5 linked regions of the Oryzias latipes genome follow. The protein of the gene in region 1 binds, or shares a complex with, the protein of each later gene. Links are inferred from orthologs where the notes say so. Each region holds a gene or a part of one and is shown on either strand. Other genes may lie near its edges.

Evidence for each region.
Region 2: the proteins of E3 ubiquitin-protein ligase XIAP (region 1) and ripk2 are in contact, whole or in part, in a cryo-EM structure (PDB 8AZA), measured with the Homo sapiens proteins. The link is inferred for Oryzias latipes from reciprocal best matches to the Homo sapiens genes XIAP and RIPK2. Residues at the interface, in NP_001158.2 of Homo sapiens: Lys208, Asn209, Trp210, Glu211, Pro212, Cys213; in NP_003812.1 of Homo sapiens: His136, Asn137, Met138, Thr139, Pro141, Ile208, Asp278, Glu279, Arg280, Ser282, Lys285.
Region 3: the proteins of E3 ubiquitin-protein ligase XIAP (region 1) and tab1 are in contact, whole or in part, in a crystal structure (PDB 2POP), measured with the Homo sapiens proteins. The link is inferred for Oryzias latipes from reciprocal best matches to the Homo sapiens genes XIAP and TAB1. Residues at the interface, in NP_001158.2 of Homo sapiens: Phe33, Ala34, Ser38, Gly39, Pro41, Ser43, Ala44, Ser45, Thr46, Arg49, Tyr75, Ser78, Ala79, Val80, Gly81, Arg84, Phe92, Ile93, Gly95, Tyr97, Leu98; in NP_006107.1 of Homo sapiens: Glu99, Ala100, Arg103, Thr201, Gln202, Leu203, Glu212, Asp213, Phe216, Arg217, Gln220, Arg241, Glu269, Glu271, Ile272, His273, Ala275, Gln276, Pro277.
Region 4: the proteins of E3 ubiquitin-protein ligase XIAP (region 1) and caspase 3B are in contact, whole or in part, in a crystal structure (PDB 1I3O), measured with the Homo sapiens proteins. The link is inferred for Oryzias latipes from reciprocal best matches to the Homo sapiens genes XIAP and CASP3. Residues at the interface, in NP_001158.2 of Homo sapiens: Ala137, Leu140, Leu141, Gly144, Gln145, Val146, Val147, Asp148, Ile149, Ser150, Asp151, Thr152, Ile153, Tyr154, Asn226, Leu231, Gly232, Arg233, Asn234; in NP_001341706.1 of Homo sapiens: Tyr204, Trp206, Arg207, Asn208, Ser209, Lys210, Asp211, Trp214, Gln217, Lys242, Thr245, Glu246, Phe247, Glu248, Ser249, Phe250, Phe252, Thr255, Phe256.
Region 5: the proteins of E3 ubiquitin-protein ligase XIAP (region 1) and casp7 are in contact, whole or in part, in a crystal structure (PDB 1I51), measured with the Homo sapiens proteins. The link is inferred for Oryzias latipes from reciprocal best matches to the Homo sapiens genes XIAP and CASP7. Residues at the interface, in NP_001158.2 of Homo sapiens: His136, Ala137, Leu140, Leu141, Gly144, Gln145, Val146, Val147, Asp148, Ile149, Ser150, Asp151; in NP_001218.1 of Homo sapiens: Tyr230, Trp232, Arg233, Ser234, Pro235, Gly236, Arg237, Trp240, Glu274, Ser275, Gln276, Asp279, His281, Phe282.

Annotation. Positions count from the first base shown.
Region 1 is NC_019868.2:22,022,634-22,026,904, reverse strand, and holds the start of E3 ubiquitin-protein ligase XIAP, read right to left. Parts: upstream 2,804-4,271; 5' UTR 2,653-2,803; intron 1,067-2,652; 5' UTR 1,034-1,066; coding exon 791-1,033; intron 693-790; coding exon 122-692; intron 12-121; coding exon 1-11.
Region 2 is NC_019875.2:13,793,079-13,795,745, forward strand, and holds the end of ripk2 (receptor-interacting serine/threonine-protein kinase 2), read left to right. Parts: intron 1-344; coding exon 345-739; 3' UTR 740-2,159; downstream 2,160-2,667.
Region 3 is NC_019859.2:24,888,976-24,893,006, forward strand, and holds the start of tab1 (TGF-beta-activated kinase 1 and MAP3K7-binding protein 1), read right to left. Parts: upstream 2,816-4,031; 5' UTR 2,775-2,815; coding exon 2,742-2,774; intron 2,005-2,741; coding exon 1,871-2,004; intron 1-1,870. UniProt on the Homo sapiens protein: Key adapter protein that plays an essential role in JNK and NF-kappa-B activation and proinflammatory cytokines production in response to stimulation with TLRs and cytokines.
Region 4 is NC_019859.2:19,919,057-19,923,222, forward strand, and holds the start of caspase 3B, read right to left. Parts: upstream 2,806-4,166; 5' UTR 2,705-2,805; coding exon 2,646-2,704; intron 1,674-2,645; coding exon 1,534-1,673; intron 587-1,533; coding exon 458-586; intron 342-457; coding exon 166-341; intron 78-165; coding exon 1-77. UniProt on the Homo sapiens protein: Thiol protease that acts as a major effector caspase involved in the execution phase of apoptosis. Following cleavage and activation by initiator caspases (CASP8, CASP9 and/or CASP10), mediates execution of apoptosis by catalyzing cleavage of many proteins.
Region 5 is NC_019877.2:5,366,786-5,369,625, reverse strand, and holds the end of casp7 (caspase-7), read right to left. Parts: intron 2,777-2,840; coding exon 2,638-2,776; intron 2,517-2,637; coding exon 2,290-2,516; 3' UTR 504-2,289; downstream 1-503. UniProt on the Homo sapiens protein: Thiol protease involved in different programmed cell death processes, such as apoptosis, pyroptosis or granzyme-mediated programmed cell death, by proteolytically cleaving target proteins.

The sequences.
Region 1 (4,271 bases):
GTCTCCTTCTCCTAGAATAATAATAAAAAAATATTATGAACAAACATTTAGATTTAGAAAAATTAAAATATTACCGGTACATCTCATTTGTAAAGGGGATGTTTGAACAAACATGCTTTACCTTTGCTGTAGAAGCCAGCTTTAGCAAGCAGCTCGTGGTCAATCGGGTGCTGGACGCGTGCAAAAGTGCCGAGTCGCTCGTCAAGATTTTCCAAATTGACAGGTGTGCGATGTTGGTTTCTGCTGCCAGTCTCTTCATTTTCTCCTCCATCTCTTTCCAGAGGCACATTTCCCACGTCATGACCAAGGATGTAGAAGCAGTGGGAAAAATGTTTTTCATGCTCGTTCCAGGGGGTGTCCCCAGGTTTCCAGCCACTTAGCTTGCCTCCACAACTGAAACACTCCACTTTATCCTCCTTTCCTAAGTAGAACAAACCTGCCTGAGCCAAATCTCGAGGTCTGACTGGAGCAGAACGCGGCCACGAAGAGAAAGTTTCCAGGCGGGCTTCTTCGCTTTTCATATTCCGGTTCCGTGGATATGGAGTCTCATCAACAATGGCTCTTGTTCTCAACTGGTAATCTATATATCCTTCAGTTCCATCATGAAGGCCCCCATTGCTGAGGGGCATATGGGGATTTGACTTAAAACGGTTGAAGTGTGTGCAGCGGAGAAACGTGCACGATGGGGAAACCTGCATGGAAGGAAAATGTTGAACTTTATTATTTAAAAAGTTGAAAAAGAATTGCCCAACATTTCTAAACTATTTTTTTTTTCAACATAAACAATTACCTGTATGTGTCTGTCCACTGGTTGATCTTCCTGGGACCAGTTTTCTACCGTTTTCTGGCAACTGAAGCAGCGTACGCGGTCAGAGACTCCAGTGAAGAGGAAGCCAGCTTCAGCCAGTTGCAGCGGTGACACCTTCTTGCTCCAGCTGGAGTTGTAGAAAGATTCCAGACGATTGTTTATCTTAGAGTAATCAATTGTGGAGTCCGATTCCCAATTCCCATCTTGGCTGGGGTCACACATCATTGAAACAAGTAGCTGTGGCGGTAAACACAAAATCTAAAAGAAAAGAAACATGAAAAAGGTTTGAGTTAGAAGTGTAGAACCTTGAATAATAGATCATGGGGGAATCTCTTTTTTTTTACTTAAAGACCTACTCCGATCATCTTTTGAGCCATTTTTAAAGTGTTCCCAGGGGTCTTCTAATTACCACTATGCCATTTTTGTCCAAAAAAGTGCCCAGATTTTTCTGCAGAGCAGCAGTAGATCATTAGAAATTCGCCTCTGAGTTGTTGGCTGGACTGTTGGCATGGAGCAACGCCGCTTCTCTCCATGTTGCCGAGGGCTCTCTGTTGCCATGTTCTCCTGCTAGCTTCAGTCCTCCTCAGTCATTCAGATTTGTCAAAAATATAAAGTATTCTGGAAGTTAACCAGCTTCCCTATCTTTATGTCCACCTTTGACATCACATCGTGCTAATAAACATTGCATCAGCACGCCTGTGTTTCATGCAATTCTTATTCATGACACATACTAAAGGTGTGATGACTTTTATTCAAGCCTAGTCACCTCCCAGAGGAAATTATTTGTCAAAAACAGAAAGTAGAAGTCAAATATCTTTCAGTTGGACATTTTTTGAGAGTGTGTGTAGATAGAATGGTATGGAATGTCCATTCCATTCATAGTCATAATCTGTCCACATAGCTAGGCTCTTTAAAGTTCTTTTAAGCCGGTAACTCAGGAAACCAGATGGATATCAGTTGAAAAAATGAATGTTTTAGTGAAGGCACAAGGGATGGGCACGAGGGCGGCTCCTGTAGTTAACTTATATGCCAAAGGGTGTAGCAGATGTACTGTTCACCATTCTTAAAGAGCTAATCAGATCATTGATTCATCAAAACACAATGTTGGAACACTGTTAATAGGTTTCAGCGATCTGCCACATATGTTTGTTAGATTATCCAGAAATGTACTAGCAGCACAGTCAAAAACAATCACTGTTTTCTACAGGAGGTTGAGACTCTTGTGTGATATTGTTGCCACACATTAGGACAGTCATATGCTGCATTACTCCTTCTGACAAACACGCTGTACGTGGAACTATTTGGTGCACATTTAGCTGTGACATGGGATTTTATCTGCTGGTGGTGGAGGACTGCATGTGATCTTTGCACTGTCACGTTTTTCTGCCTCAGTGATCAAGTGATCAAATCAAAAGCTAACGGCCATATTTACTACAGTAAATATGCTGTCGCAAAGACAGTTTTGCTGTCTTTGCGACAGCAAAACTGAAATTAACATCTCTAACCGCCCAGTGAGCGACAAATGCGTATGCCGTCATTGTTGTGTTTCTACGAACTATCAACTGCATACTTTGCTCTGTTCACAAAGATTCCACCCACATCATTTAAAGGGCTACACATCACGGATTAAAAATTAATATAAAAGAAAAAAGACAACTGCTGGTGTTTTACAGTGGATAAAGGAATCTTACATAAGGAGTCAAATTATTATTTAAAAGTGCGTACCTTTGCTGTAACTATAGTTTGTTTACATTTCATGTAACATTTGACTAGCTAGCTAGTTAGCCTTGTTCGCTAAGCGCGCGATTACTTTACCAGCGGCTCTAAAAACATAAAATACTTGCATTTCTTTGCTCGTGTAGGGAGGTCTTCGGTTCGTGGTTTGAAAAGGTCCTTGATGAGATCGCCCTGTGAAGGAAATCGGCGTAGAAGAATTCCTTTGGCGTGACCTCCCAAAGTCAGGAAGTAAGAACAGCGTAGTCTTTGACAATGCGCATGCGCATCGTCGATTACGCAAAGAAAGTGGGGGTTCAATGAGAAGATTCCAGAGGTTCTGTTTCAGTTTCGTTATGGAAAAAAATATAAAACATTGTCACTTAAACAGAAAAATTTCAACATGCTTAACAGCTCAAGCCCGAAGATGTTATTGCTAAAGAAAGATATGTTTTTGTAACTTATGCAGTATGTGTTGAAACGTAGATTTGAAAAAAAAAAGAGAGAGAAAAAAAACCACGCAGTCCCGAAAAGCGACTTTTAAGCAAATCTCTAGGTTTTTTTTTTCTTCCCAGGGGGGGTTTCCCTTACAAATATGCTGTTTAAAATCAGTAAAATACACTGTCGACAAAAGAAACTAAATGAGTAAAAAACATTTATAAATGTGTCCCTTATGTCTCAAAGCAAATGCGACATTTATATGATTAATTTATTCAAATTTAGCTTTTTTTCTGTTTTTCAACGTTTGGAGCAAGAATACAAAATGCCACATATTTTGAAGTGGGTTTTAGTCTATGCTTTTATTATGAAGGATGCAGTTTTCTTTAAGATCACACTTTAACTTCTGAAAAGTTGGTGGGACAGTGGTTCAAATTTCAGTGTGTTCTGAGTCATTTTAAGTTCAGCCGGCTGTGAGGCTGCCCTGTCAGACACGCAGCATCCAAACTATACAACTTTAGATATATTTACATTTGGTCACATGAAATAAAAAATAAAACATTTTAAACAGCTTCCAAAACATAACCAATGTGGAATAGGGGAATAGTATTAGGCAGAAGTCATAAATAGGGTTTTAATAAACATCCATTTGTTCAAACAAATCTTCAGTGACATTTCTTTGGTTAAAAAAAATACAGAAAAGTACAGGTAAACCACTAGAAAAAAAGTTGAAGCCACCAAACACAATTTGATGAATTCACTTCAAGAAGCAGTGAAAAAGGGAAAGTACGAAGTTTCTGTGCAGTTTGGTAAGAAACCCCCATGCTGAGTGAGACTTGCTGTTTAGGTGACAAGGCAAGCATCCAACTTCCCCTTATTTGATGTGGGTTAATGGGGAATTACATGGTATAAATTAAACACTCTTTTCACACCCCCGCAAGTTTCTCACCCAAGCTTGGGTCCTCTACTAGAGGCCTGGGAGCTTGAGGGTTCTGTGCAGTATCTTTCCTAGGACTGAACCTTTCTGGACTGAGATGTTTCTCCAGGGATCTGCTTTAGCCACTCTTCTGGTCATTTCTAACATTACAGCCACTCCTCCACCTTAGGGGTTACTGTCCTGAGTGATCGGATAACCACAGGCACCACCGTCAAATTAACCTTAAAGCTTTCTCCAGTTCTTCCAGACTTTCCTCTTTTCTTTGTCCACCTCTACAGTGTCTGGTTGGTTCTCCATGACCATCTTGTCAGTTTGGATCTGGGAGTCCCACAGGATCTTAGCTCTCTCATTCTCTGCCACTTTTAGAGGTGCTTT
Region 2 (2,667 bases), on another chromosome or scaffold:
CTTTGTTGTTTTTGAAGCTAAATGTAACATTTTAGGTTCATTGATGACTCTAAATTGTCCCTATTTGTGGATGTGAGAGTGTGTGCGTGTTGTTGTTGTGTGACTCTGCAACAGGCTGGTAAACTGTTCTGGATGAACCCAAAAATGTCTGGGATAGGCTCCAGCAACACTGTTACCATAAAAAGGATTAGGCAGGTTTGGAAAATGGATGGAGTTCAGTTATCAAGTCTGACTTGCAAATGTTCTGGGAGGAGCTACTATTGGACGTTCTCTTTTAGTTTAGTGCACAACAAATGTAGGTTATCAGATTGTCTCAAATGGCTCTGCTTTCTCCATTCTTTCAGCTGATTGCTCTCCTCCACTGCCGCACTCCCCCCCGCTGTCACAAGGCCCCATCAGCAGCTGGATCGCCATGCGGCGCGTGCAGATCGTCTCCCAGATGACGGAGGCCTGTCTCAACCAAAGCTTGGACGCGCTGCTGGCTCGCTCCATGCTGATGCGCGAGGACTACGAGCTGGTGGTCAACCAGCCGACGCGCACCGCCAAAGTCCGCCAGCTGCTGGACAACTGCCACAAACACGACGAGGACTTCTGCCGCATTGTCGTCCGCAAGCTGTTCGACAACAAGCAAATGGGCCTGAACCCGTACCCCACAGACATCAGCTGTCCCACCTCTGCAGCTGCTGTGCCAAGCGCTCCATCTCTGCCCACCTCCTGCAACATCCCCAGAAACTTTTAGCAGAGGTGGCAGCAAATCAGAGGACCGATGATGGCGTCGTCGCACCACAGCTGACCCTTCCTGGTTCTGTTGTCGTTAGCAATAAAGGTGTAGGTTTTGTCCTTCCGTAAAAATCAAAAGATACAGAATGAGTTGATGATCTTAAATTGTTATGGATTTTGTATTTATACTCCATTTTTTTTTTATTTCCTTGTGTTTTCTCTTATTAAGGCCCATCTTTTTAGATACTCGTGTGCATTTGCCTAAAGGAAGCGCCATGGAGACTGTTACTTTGCTGGCAAACCTGCAGTAAAGAAAAGACCCCAGACAGAGTACAATCTCAAGGCAGCACTTTCCCATGAGTTCACATGAACATTTATAAAACCTCCCTTTACCTGTAAAGTGCACAGTTTGCATTAGAAAATATATCATATTGGTGCAAATTCAATTTTACTGAAGAGAAGACGATTAGTGTGTTCACAAGAATCTCAAGAATATGACAAAAATGTTTGGGGGTTTTTGTGTCAAAGTTAAGCAGCTCACAATAACTACTGTATTTATTACGAAGTAACCTCTCAGTATTTCTATTCATGCTCACATTTTGAGGCTTGACACCCACCCAGATACTTTAGAGCCCTCTTTCTTCCAGAAACTTTTCGTTATTAATCGGCTCTAACTTTTTGGAAGTTGCCAAAACTGCTTTTCTTGTAGCAAACTTTCCTGGAATTGTAATCCAATCATCTTGAAGTTTTGTTTTCCATTATAACAAGAACAACTCCTTTTTAATAAAACAGTGATGGCTTCCATAAAGAAGAACAGTTAAGAGAGTAGCACCAGTATCTGTACAGATAATACACTTTTTGATGTCTATTTTAAGATGTAGCAAAGGAAAACAAAGTTACAGCATTAGGAAAAGAGTTTTGGTTTAATGGAATAGTAAGCAGAATAGGTTAGGTTTATTCTATTCATTGGCTGGCAAAGCAGTATATTTAACACTTTCAATGGAGGGCCTTACTGGTGTCTTCAATGCCTTTGCTTCTTAAAGGAGGTGCTTAAATTTCCAAACGGTAGCTTTTCTGTGTACAATGTTTTCCACCTTTGCCTTTTCCCAACGTGCTCAAATGTGGATTACTGGTTACTAAAGTGCACACTCTGACAAACGTCAGGTTTTCAGCCATCCGTAGTCCCTGAAATGACAACAGAAATTAGGCTTTTTGTGCTTCCAAGTGTTGGATGTGTCCTTAAACTCTGTGCCTCATTGTGACGGCCTTTGTATCTTGTATTATATTTTGTACTGTACCCACATTGTTGTACATCTTTATCTTTATGTGGTAGTTTAACACCTAAGATGTCTGTTGAGGTAAAGTTGCATTTTCTAGTGCGACCTTTTTTCAAATATTCTGTCACTTCTTCCATTAAATGGGAATCGATCACTTTGTAATTTCTGCAATTCTTTTTTTTCTTTATCTGCAATAACAAATCAGGAATCATTAGGCTGCACCCATATGAACCCACTCACACCAGGGGCCTGCCTAAGTTCCCCTTTTTGGAAAAAAAAGGGCATGTTTTAGTGGAATGACTTGGAAGTAACAGAATATCTCCTTTGAAAATCATGTTTGAGTTTAGCAAATTAAAAAAAAGAAAAGTGGTGCTTTATTTGTTGTCCAGGATATACACTGGACCGTCATTTTGAAAAGCGGAAATCCAATACCCAATAATCCAATCTCAAACTTGGAGTCTTGTTTTTAACCCTTGTGCTATCCTAGGCACTTTAACATTGGGAGGTGGGTCATCTAGACCCACTAGACAGTGCGCTAAACCTTTTTTCTTCAGTGATTTGTGAACCTCACTGGTGTCCATGGATGACATTAAATCTTTCCACCTTTATCCACCTTTGTCATGGTAGGGAGAACACGTCAATGTATGGGTGGATTCATCTAAGATAGCAC
Region 3 (4,031 bases), on another chromosome or scaffold:
GCATCCCAGAATCCTTTGGTGCCATTAGACCCAACGTGCACCAGATCGCCGCTACAATATGATGAAGCTTTCAAGTTAAAAGCAATCGTTAAAAGCAGCGTAAAAAAGTCCACCGTCACCAACGGGTTTGGAAAAGCCGGTTTGCTGCGTGACGGAGAGAACAGCGCATGGAGTGAATTTACACTCCATTTACGGTTTCTAAGGAAACCGTAAAAGCGGAATTTTGCTTTGAAAAACTCACAGCCTCCGTGTGAGCTGGAGACATCTTCTCCTGCTGATTGAGCTGCGGGGCCGATGGCAGTCTGAAGGCTCCCACACGTAACAACGCACCCGCCCCTCATACACAAAACGTACAGTATTCAGTCCGATTGCTTTGCACAGAAACGATTTGCTCCATCCACCGGCGCAACGGGGACGAAGTGCTCCTCCTTGAAGCCGCCCTGGCCAGAGGTGTCGGAGTAGATAGGAAGGGGAGACAAGGAGCGCGCGGGAGCGGAGCGCAGAGGCGTCCGCGGAGTGCAGAGGCTTCTGAATTCTGCCGCACGCGCCGCACTGAGGCGCGCGTATCACGCTGAGGCGCGCGCTTTTCAGTCCCCGCTGCTGTATTTTACCGGTGTGTTTTTTAACCAGCCCTGTTACTCCCATAACGCTGCCGCGACACAAGCGGAAGGAGAGCTGTACCCGTTCACCCCTCCATGCACTGCTGATACTTGCTCATTCTTAAACACGTACAACAGAATGGCGAGCCGGGCATTGGCCCCGCCTTTAGCCCCTAAGACCCATGGGAAATGTGGAATCGCGGATGTAAATTTCCTCTTCATAACTGAGGGATGTAATGTTGATTATATGGTTACTGTTTGTAATTTTAAGTATGATACCTAGATTGTCAATAAGTAAAAAAAAAAATGAAATAAAAACACCATAACTGAGGAACTTGTGAACAGAATAGAGGTCCATGCTGTTTGACAGATATCGATACACTCAAATACATGAGCCACCCACAATGTGCTAATAAATTGCACTCACTCTGGGATGCTGGCCTTGATCTGTCAGGATGACAATATCGCCTAACACATGCGCGGCTTGAACTCTGACACGGCTTGTGTATGTATAAAACTAATTAAACACGTGAAAATGGGTGGGTGCGGCTTGTAATCGGGTGCGCTTTGTAGTCCGGAATTTACGGTATTTGTTTTGGTTGTTTTTCTGGAAAGCATACATTTTTATTCTTTTTAAATCCCTTTTTCCCAGGGCTTGCACTTTGTAGACGGCCCCTTGGCAGCTGTCTCACTGTAATCTCTCTGTCAGCAAAATAGGCAGAACCACTCTCATTAAAAAGAAACAAAAACCCAACCTTGCTGTCAGTTTAAATCGTTTATTAAGAGTTTTGAGCCTAGAAGACTAAAGTTGTTAATATCTCTCTACCTTTATGAAACTGCTTGTCTGTGTCTCCTGCTCAAACTGCTGCCATTTTCTGCTGCGCTTTACAGCAACAAAATGTCATGGTGTGTTCATGATATGCAGACTTCCAGAAGAGAATTTATCTACAATAATAAGCTTAAAATAAATAGCGTAATTGTAATAAAATAGTGGTAATTGATATAGCAGAAATAATAATAATAATGATCCCAAATCTGGATGGAACATCTGATTCCAATCGAGTCTGAAACTATGCAGGCCCAGCTTCTGATCACGTAGGAGGTCCCTAGTAATTATCATAAGATTTCAAACAAAAAGCTTAGCGCCAAAACCTGAAGTGACAAAAAAAGAAGCTGACTTCAGAATGGAGATATGAACTTTCAATAAAGTGTTTATTCTCTCGCTCTTAACATTTCTAATTTAAGATCCTTTCTTTCCTGGGATTATTTACCTCAGTCTGAGGTGTCCGTCCTCCATGGGGTGGCTCTGAGTCCCTTTGCCATCTGGGCCGTACACACAGTTTGGGGCGGCGCCGACCCCACACATCTGACAGAGGGGCAGGTCATCCGTCCAACTCTGATGCTGCTGGGAGAAAATTGTGAAAAAGTGTTCAAAAGCTCACCTTCATTCAATACATCTTTTACAACGTTTATATGATAAAAACTATGCAAAATTATATTGGCACCAATACCAATACCATGCCTTCAAAACTATTTAACAGCTTTAAAAAAAAAAATTCAATTAATTCCAGACATCAAAAGTTTAAAAAGACAAACGCTTTCAGATCGTAGGGTTTATCTATAAACAATTTTCGAAATAAATGTCAACTTTTTTTGCTGTTTTCGGTATACTTATACTATATATTTTTTAGTTTTTCCCCCCAAAAGATTTCACAAAAAATGAAATATAACTCAGTCTGAAACCGAATGTAAACAACATACGACCAAACAACCGGGCTAAGTTAGTATTCGGAAGGACTACTATTGCAAAATGATAGGCCCTAAAAACAACAATTCCTTAAAAATCAAGAACAATTTCCTACATTTGATCCCGTCTGCTATATTCCTATGACAGACATAAACTTGGTTACTGTAGGTCCCCAACAGAATTAGAAAATGTAGCTAGTTAGCGGTTAGCAAAGCACTTGGCTCATCTGAAGTAGCTAACTTTTGACACAGCTTTAAGGTTAGAATAAACACCGAATGTTACAAAGTCACGCAGCAAATTAAATGACAACAAACACACTAAAAGCAACAGTTATGTATGACCCAACATGAGCATTATCAGTCGAAAAAAGTAATTTAGGGCAGTTTTTAACGTACACTCTGCATCAAAGTCCTGCGATGCGCCGCCATGTTGGATGGGGCTCGGTGCGTTTACGGTTGCTATCGTAAATTCTATTTTTTGTTTTGATTTTAACCATAAAATCTGAAGTTTCAAGGTCTACTTTGAAGCAACAACGACAAAAATTTTAAAAATAATCAAGATTTCGGTAGTCTTTCATGTTATGACTCTCCAAGGTAAATTTACCTGAATTAGGAACTATTTGTGTGTTTCATTTACAGGTATTTACAATAAAAGAAGGGGAGACAACGCGAATTTTGACCATATACGACCAGAATGATAGATGTTTCGATTTTAAAAAGTGTTTTCCTTTTTTTATTTTACTTTTGCTTTACTTATACGGCATTTGCTTTACTTATAAGGTATTGCATTAGTGTAGGTTAGTGGATTGTCCTACATCATGTGAACGTATCTTTACAAACGCCTTCTTTGGCTTCATTCGGTTTCTTTGGTCATGTTGCCCCCCTGTGGATCCTGTGTGAATTACATTTGAGAAAACCGTCTTGGATTCATGTGTCGCTTGCGCGTGCGCAAGGGCAATCGTTTTATCTTTTTACATTCATTGATATATATTATTTACTGGGGCTATTCAAAATATATTAACAGGTAGCCAACACATGTCTGTACAACATAGGCCTATGGGCAAAAATTTTCACTAAAGTACTTTGAAATTAGCAAAATATTCAAAAGATTATCTGTACTATTTTTAGATAATCAAAAAGACAAAAGCCTAAAAGGTTTATTAAAAAAAAGTAAACACTGGCATTAATGCTTACTTGTCAAACTTTCCTTTTGTAAACTTAATTTATTTACTAACTTATACATAGATTTGCTGCAGTTTAATTGATGGTTATTTTTTCAAATTTATTTGAAAAAATAACAAAGTACGCCATGGGAAGTAAACACACAGAAGGACAATCACTTGTCTACATCGTCTTTCTTTATTTCTGTTGGTTAAAACTGAAACATCAAAAACAAACATTTGAACACATTACTCTTTTTTTTCAGTCATTGTATTTCTAAACAGATTTCACAGAGGAACATCACACATTTTCAACTACACAGATGTAAAATATAAAGTATATACTTGTTTATATACTTTGGTAATTTTTTTTTCTCTTTTAGCAGTTAGTATTGTTATCCAAAATAAAAAGATTTCCCTACCCTGAAAGCAAAATAAAGGATGAGGCTTAGACTACCTCATCGTATATCTTACCACAGTAACAACAGACCATAGAGCTCTTCTTTTTTTAAATACAGAACAAGCA
Region 4 (4,166 bases), on another chromosome or scaffold:
GCTTCCACTGGGATCTTGGTGGTGTCTTCTTTGGAATCTGCTTCAATGCCATCATCCAGTTCGGTGCCTCTGCAAGCCTTTCAGTGTCCACAAACCCAAACCAAACATTTTCACAGACTGATAGGAAAATGATGGTGGGCAACAAATGAGAGGCTTTGGTCGTACCTGGATGAAAAACAGTTTGGGCTTTCCCACCAGTGATTTGCAGTGATCCCCTCGGAACAGGGACGTCAGAGTTTTGAGTTCTATCGAACCATCCGTGCCGAAGAAAACGCCCTCGTCGCCATGACTCAAAAGGATGCAGACGAAAGAGGCGGAGTCACTGTGGTCCATCCTTGATACTAACAAAAATAAATCCAAAGCAATAAAATATACCAAAAGGATTATAAATATCTATATGAATAAGCACTGGAATGTTTAAAAGTAGCATTTTGAAGAGAGTGTGAATCATACTAACCATCAGTCAAAAGCTGTTTAATCTGTTTAACTGTCTGGTCATTGTAAATCTTCACTCTATAGCCCAACTTTGAAAACACTTTCATTGCAGAGGCTGCATCGATGTCTGTACCGTTTCGCTGATTCATACCTAACAGAACAAAATGGTGTAAAAAAAAAAGTCAGCAACAATTGGTTTAGTAACAAAACAAAAAAGAATTTGAACCGCACAAATTTCCTTAAAAAACCTTCAAACAGTGGTCGAATATGAGTGGTCTCATATTAGAGTGATTTAATATGTGCAAATTTATTTCCACAGCTCTTGTTGTGCATTAAAAGTCACTTTTTTGCCTTAATCAGACGCTCTTTTGTCACAACTAGGCTGTAACAAAACAAAAAAAAATATATGATTATGTTTTACAAAACTGTCTAACATCTTCCTGGACACTGAAAAGTTGAATACACAGAGCAAAGCTGAATCTCTTAATGTATGTTCTGGATAAATCATGCTTTTTAAATCACATTTAGGCTTAATATATGTTGTATATGTGCTACTGCAGGTCTGACTAGGTTCCTGCTGCATTTCAGATAAGTTATTTTAAGAACTGTAGTCCTGATAGATTATTTTTTGTTTAATATTTGTACATTCTATTTAACAAAGCAGAACATTATCCGTTTTTGACTGTTTATGAATTACTACACCATAGTTTTGTACAGTCTTATAAAACAGCTGAACCTAAACATTAAATCTAAAGCTTCATGCTCATCCTGGCAGGCCACAGAGAAAAATGAAACACTTAAGGTAGACAAGGTTCCATTATATTTCTGCTTTGCCTTAATTTCATTAGCAAATGTTACAAAGTAAAGGGGCCAAACCAATCAAAACCATCAAAATTTTAGAAGTGAGAGACTAATGTTTATCACTGACAGTGTATGTTTTTCCTCAACATCTGTGAAAATATATTTTCTTGGATAACTAAACTATTTCTGACAAGTCTTCAGTTTAGCCTGTAATAATAGGAGCTGGGATAACCACTTCAATATAGAATCATTTTCCATGCCAGAGTACAGGAAAATAGAAATAAAAACAGGGATCACCGGTTCCTCGATCAAAATTCTTGTTGTTAATGATGATGCAGAGGCCGATGGTGGGAAAGTTGAGGCTGTATCTAAAGCTGTGAGAGGAGGGCTTCCCATCGACGTCCATGCGATCAGGAGCAGGTGAAGCCCCTGCTGCCCTGCAACACAACATAACACAAAATCAACTTTACCTAAACGATATAAATCGAAACAGGAAACAATCAAAAGGACAAGTGGAGGGTTCAAAGCCACAAGAGACACGGTAGTTATTTTCAAATGTTACATTTAAAAACAGGCACTAATAGGCTTCAAAAAAATTATTTTTGTTTGAAGTGTCCTCTTCTACTGACTTACTGCACCATAAATTACAGACATATTAATAATAATAATAAAAAGAAAATCAACAAGAAAAGTCAGATAAAAATTCACTGATCTGTAGTTCTGGGAAGAATACCGCAAGAACAAAGTGTTTGTTTTAGGAGGTAACTGTCTCTTTTCTTCTGTCATGTTGCAGAGTACAGCAGAGCAGGATTCCTGCATGTTTCCCTACATATTTTGCTCTGTCATGCTTCAATTGGCTGGACACACCTGATCCAGGTGATCAGCCGTGAGTATCATGGCAATGCTATCTGGAAACCATGCAGACACCCCGGACACTTAAGGCCTGGAGTTCCCCAGCCCTAAAACAATCATGGCCTCGTTTTTTACCCCCAAAGATATCTCCATTTTCTGTTGAAGACACTCTCCTTTAAAAAAAAAAGCTCTTTTATTTTATTTTATCCATTTGTTGGTTTGTATTGTTCTTGTTTCACGCGGTGAAAAGTGCTATAGAGAGGCTAAAAACAAGCACACATGCATACAAATCATGTACTTCACCTCAATCATTTCCTGTATTTTCTAAAACATCTGCTGAATAAAATGGAAAAACAAAAACAAAATGCACCAAAGGCCTCTGTGTACACACTGACACTTTTCTCATTTGTTCGGCAAACAAACGTATAGTTTACGAGATAATTAAAAAAAAAAAAAGTTTACGAAATAATTTGTTCCCGGAAGTCCGAATACGTGAATGGGTTTCCAAGTTCACCGAGGTCCATAAATAAGAGGTGACAGAAACATTATTGACTCACAGTTCTCCATTGTCTTTCCTTGCGTCTGTAGAATCCTCTCCTGGTCGATTTGACGCCATATTTTCCTCTAAGTTAAGTTGAACGACTGTAATAAATTAAATGAACCGCCCTGTGTGTCGTGCAGTAGTAAACTAACACAGCGGTGTCCTTTACAAGACAACACTACGCTGCTCTCACAGCTTGTAGCATCAGCTAGCTAAGGAACCGACCTGGTTAATAAACAAAAGGGTTCTGACATGCGCAGACGCGCCATCAGCTCACGGGCGCCCCCTATTGGAACTATGCCCCAAAGACAATTAAATAAAGATTAGATTTTAAAACGAGTAAGAATTTGATATGTCTACAGTTTAGAATTTGCCCAAATGGAAAAGGTTCGATATTTACTTGCCAAAAACAAACTGATTCCAGGATACTATTTTCCAGGATAATATGCAGAGACAATACACCATAAAGTGTACTTAAACCTAAGCTTAAGAAAACATTTTTAAACACACTCATCTTACACATAAATAAATGATGGCACACACCCTTCTAGTTTTGTAAATAACTGTAGTTTTATTTACACAGTAAATACAAGGGCATTATCAACAAAACCAAATAATACTTTAACCCTCAACTACTGCTACCACACACAAACACAACACACAAGGTGATCTTTCTCCTCCAACAGTCTGTACTGATTAAATTACAAAGGCAAGGCCTCCCTTTAAAAATTAATAAACCATTTTAAATTGTAATTGGATAGTTTGTTGGGAAAATGAACACCACAAACAGGCTTGAGACAACCCAACCTGAAAGAAACAAGAAAAAAAAGTGAATGCTTGAAACGATAGTCAACTCTCCTAAAGATACCACTATTTCAGTTCCTAAAATTAAAAGGTTGATCACTTTTATTGCTCTAACTTTGAACAGAAAGTTACTGCATAATTCAAGGTGACATCTCTGCAAGTCCATAATATGTGAAAATGAATTAACTACCCACAAAAAAAGGAAAACATTCATTTTTGGGATCGCAAACGTAAAACCAGGAGCTATGACAAAAACAACATTTACAACATCTTAAAGTACACAACATCCGTATAGCACGGTGAAAATCTGTAAATGTTAGATTAAAAATGTCAATTCTAACTCTTGGGAATAAATTAAATACCGTTTAAAATGAAAAACTTTTTGCTGCACACAAAAGCAAAGGTTACATTAAACGAGGGAACTCAAATGCAACTGTTTTGGTGTTCTAGATTGATTTCTAGACCATCTTTTCACCATTTTATTAAGAATTTGCTTATTTCTTATAATTTTTAGTGACTTATTTGTACAAGTGCACTTGCATTTAGGACAAAAACGTTTTTGTCTGCTTTAAATTCCTGACATATTGCCAAACAAAATGTAGTTTTTACTGCTTTAGTGCTACCTTATCTCATTTAATCCACTTTGTATCACAGCTATAAATTGAGGCACATCTTAGTTAAAATCTACAAATGCAGCACATTACAGAAGAAGAATCACTCAACAGGTTTAATA
Region 5 (2,840 bases), on another chromosome or scaffold:
AGATTTTTTTTCTCAAACCTAGAATTTCCCAGAAAAATATTTGTTTTCCAGTCTTGAACAGTAAACGTTCAGGCTGCATGAAATTCTTGACGATTTGAACGATAAGCAGCTGAGAAGTTTTATGTAAAATCTGCAGTTATTTCCAGGTCCAAGAGGCTTTCCCAGTTATCATGAGTGCAATGTTGTGGTGCAAGTTTTTGTTTCGTACAGCAATCAATCAATAACAACAACAACAACAACACACTAACAAAGCCAGTACAGCGAACAAAAACTTCTGGAACCACATTGTTGCTCTTTGGTTCATGAAAAAAATAAATAAATAAATAAAGGGTTTGTAGATCTAATTAATTTGTTTAAAACAACAGTTTTTTTATCTGTAACAAGTGGAAATAAAAAAAAAAACGACTGCAATATTTTTATTTGTATTTTAACAATTTTGGTAACTTTCCAAATAGAAATGTTTTTTTGTATATTCCAACTTAATAAGATTTAAGAAACAATTCCTTTGTGTAATAAATGTATTTTTATTACAAGAAATGCTCACATAAGCATACTTTTGTTCCAAAGTTTACAAACTGGGCCAGTTTAAGCTTTCCTGTCAAAGTCATCATTTTTTAATTGACTTAATTCATTTTTTTATTCCTGAGGACAACAGCATGAAACAGCAGAAAGCATTCAAAATTTTGCAACAAAAAATAATTAATTTCCTCTTTCAATTCCATTCCAAACAAGTTAATCAAACTTTTTTTTTTTAAGCTCAGGTCAGCCCTAACGTCTTCTGGTGTCCAGACAATTCAGGGGGCTGCACTGGACAAGAATCGGCTCGTCGCGCAATTATTCATTAAAAATGACCAAAATTATGGTTTAAAACTACTTGCTAAAAACATAAAAGCAGTCAAAAGTGGAAAGCAAACAAAAACTAAAGATATACCCCAACAGGCTACTGATACGTGCATTTTTTGTTTTTGTTTTTAGAATAGCTACATCGCAGGAGGAGTATGGATTTGGTAAGTTCAGACTTGTCACTGCCAGTAATAGCTGCCTCTGTGGTTGACACACTGGGACAATAAAACTGCAGAATCTTAAACTTTTGTTTTTAAATGTTAACTATCAATTAGATACAATACAATTCTAGCCTAAAACTTGTCGTTTATCATAGTTTCCTACAGCGAAAAAGTAAACCAAAGTGCTCAAAAATGAGAAAAATCGATAAAACTTTAGCCTAAAACTTGTGTTAAGTTAAGCAAAGTGCACAAAGTGCTTAAATATGTAAAGCATTATTTTAGTATCTTTGGCTTTTAAATAATTCCGAATTGGAGCGCTTTGTTGGTTTGTACCTGCAGTGTACACTAAAGACAAACTACAACACTAATATACGGCAAAATGATGCTGCAATTGTGCTTTTGGTCTCAGCTGGGCTTTCTATTTCTGCGGTCTATGATACAAGAACGAACACTTGAGATGTATGTTTCATCGTAGCACTTCCTGTTCTTTAGCTCTATCAAAATAAAATGAATGCATTGAACTTTTTTTTTTTTTGGGGGGGGGGGGGGGGGGGGCTGTATTTGGGCATATATGAAATCCCACAAAGTTCACAAATTTCATTCTAAACAATTAGGTAATTTCCCATAACTTCAGTTTGTAAAGATTTCATTTAAAAATAAGAAATTGAATGTTTTAGCGCCTGCTTTTGTGCTAAATGCCAACAGTCATTTTATAGTTTTTCAACTTCTTATGCAGCAGAAGTGAAAAATATCTTAATTGGTGTGATGACAAACCCTCCACTGACATAATCAAAGCTAAAATAAAGTTTTCTGGAAGGAAATGAGGTTTTCCTCATCAGAGATGAAGCCCAAATCGCAAAAACATTTTAATGTCAACTGAACTTCCGGTGATTTTCCTGTAATTAGGGATTTTTGTTGCATTTTGCTTGCCTACAATGTCACGTCTTATTGAACAGAACTGTTAAAAGAATGAAACGGAGATGACGCATACTCAGATATGATTCCCCCAAAGCCACAAGACCTGGCAGCGGATCTTATGGGCTGGCAGAACAACATGGATATTTCACCCGTCGACAGAGATCGGACCGATTGTGACGCCATTGGTCTGAAGAGGAACCTGAAGGAAAGCTTTCACCTTGGATGAACAAACGCCACCGTATTTTCTCACAGAGGGCTTGTTTTTGGGCCCATTATCCCTGAATATTTCAATTAAAGAGTCCGCCCCTGAAACGGTCAGTCTTGTCAGCCAGTCAGTGGGAGTGCGCCATGCAGTACAGGTGGACGGTCAATTGAAATACAGTTCTTTGGTCAGCATGGAGACCACGCAGGGGATCTGCTTCTTCTCGCTGTAGCGGGGGTCCTCGGACCATGACTCAAAGTTGTTGGCCACCATGTAGTTGACCCGGGTCAGGATCTGCATGATCTCCAGCTGCTTCCCGAACTCGTTGAGGACATTGCAGAGTGCCTGGACAAACCAGGACCCGCGGCCGGGGTTCCTCCAGGAGTAGTATCCTACGGAAGCAGCATGAGTGACAGTCCATGAGTTCAACTGCAGCGCGCCCCCCCCCCCCCCCCCCCCAACGTGACTTTCAGACAACGACAGCCAGATGGAGCACAAAAAGATCAAACCAACCTGGCACCGTGGAGTATGCAAAGAGGAAGTCCGCCTCCACGGGGATCTTGTGACTGGGATTGGCGTCGGTCTCAATGGTGTCGTTTGGAGGACCAGAATCTGTCTGGACGCCTTCATCGAATTCTGAGCCTCTACAAGCCTGGAGAGGGAAACAAACACTCACTTAACGGGAAAAACAGCTGTTCTTCATACAGTTTTCATGA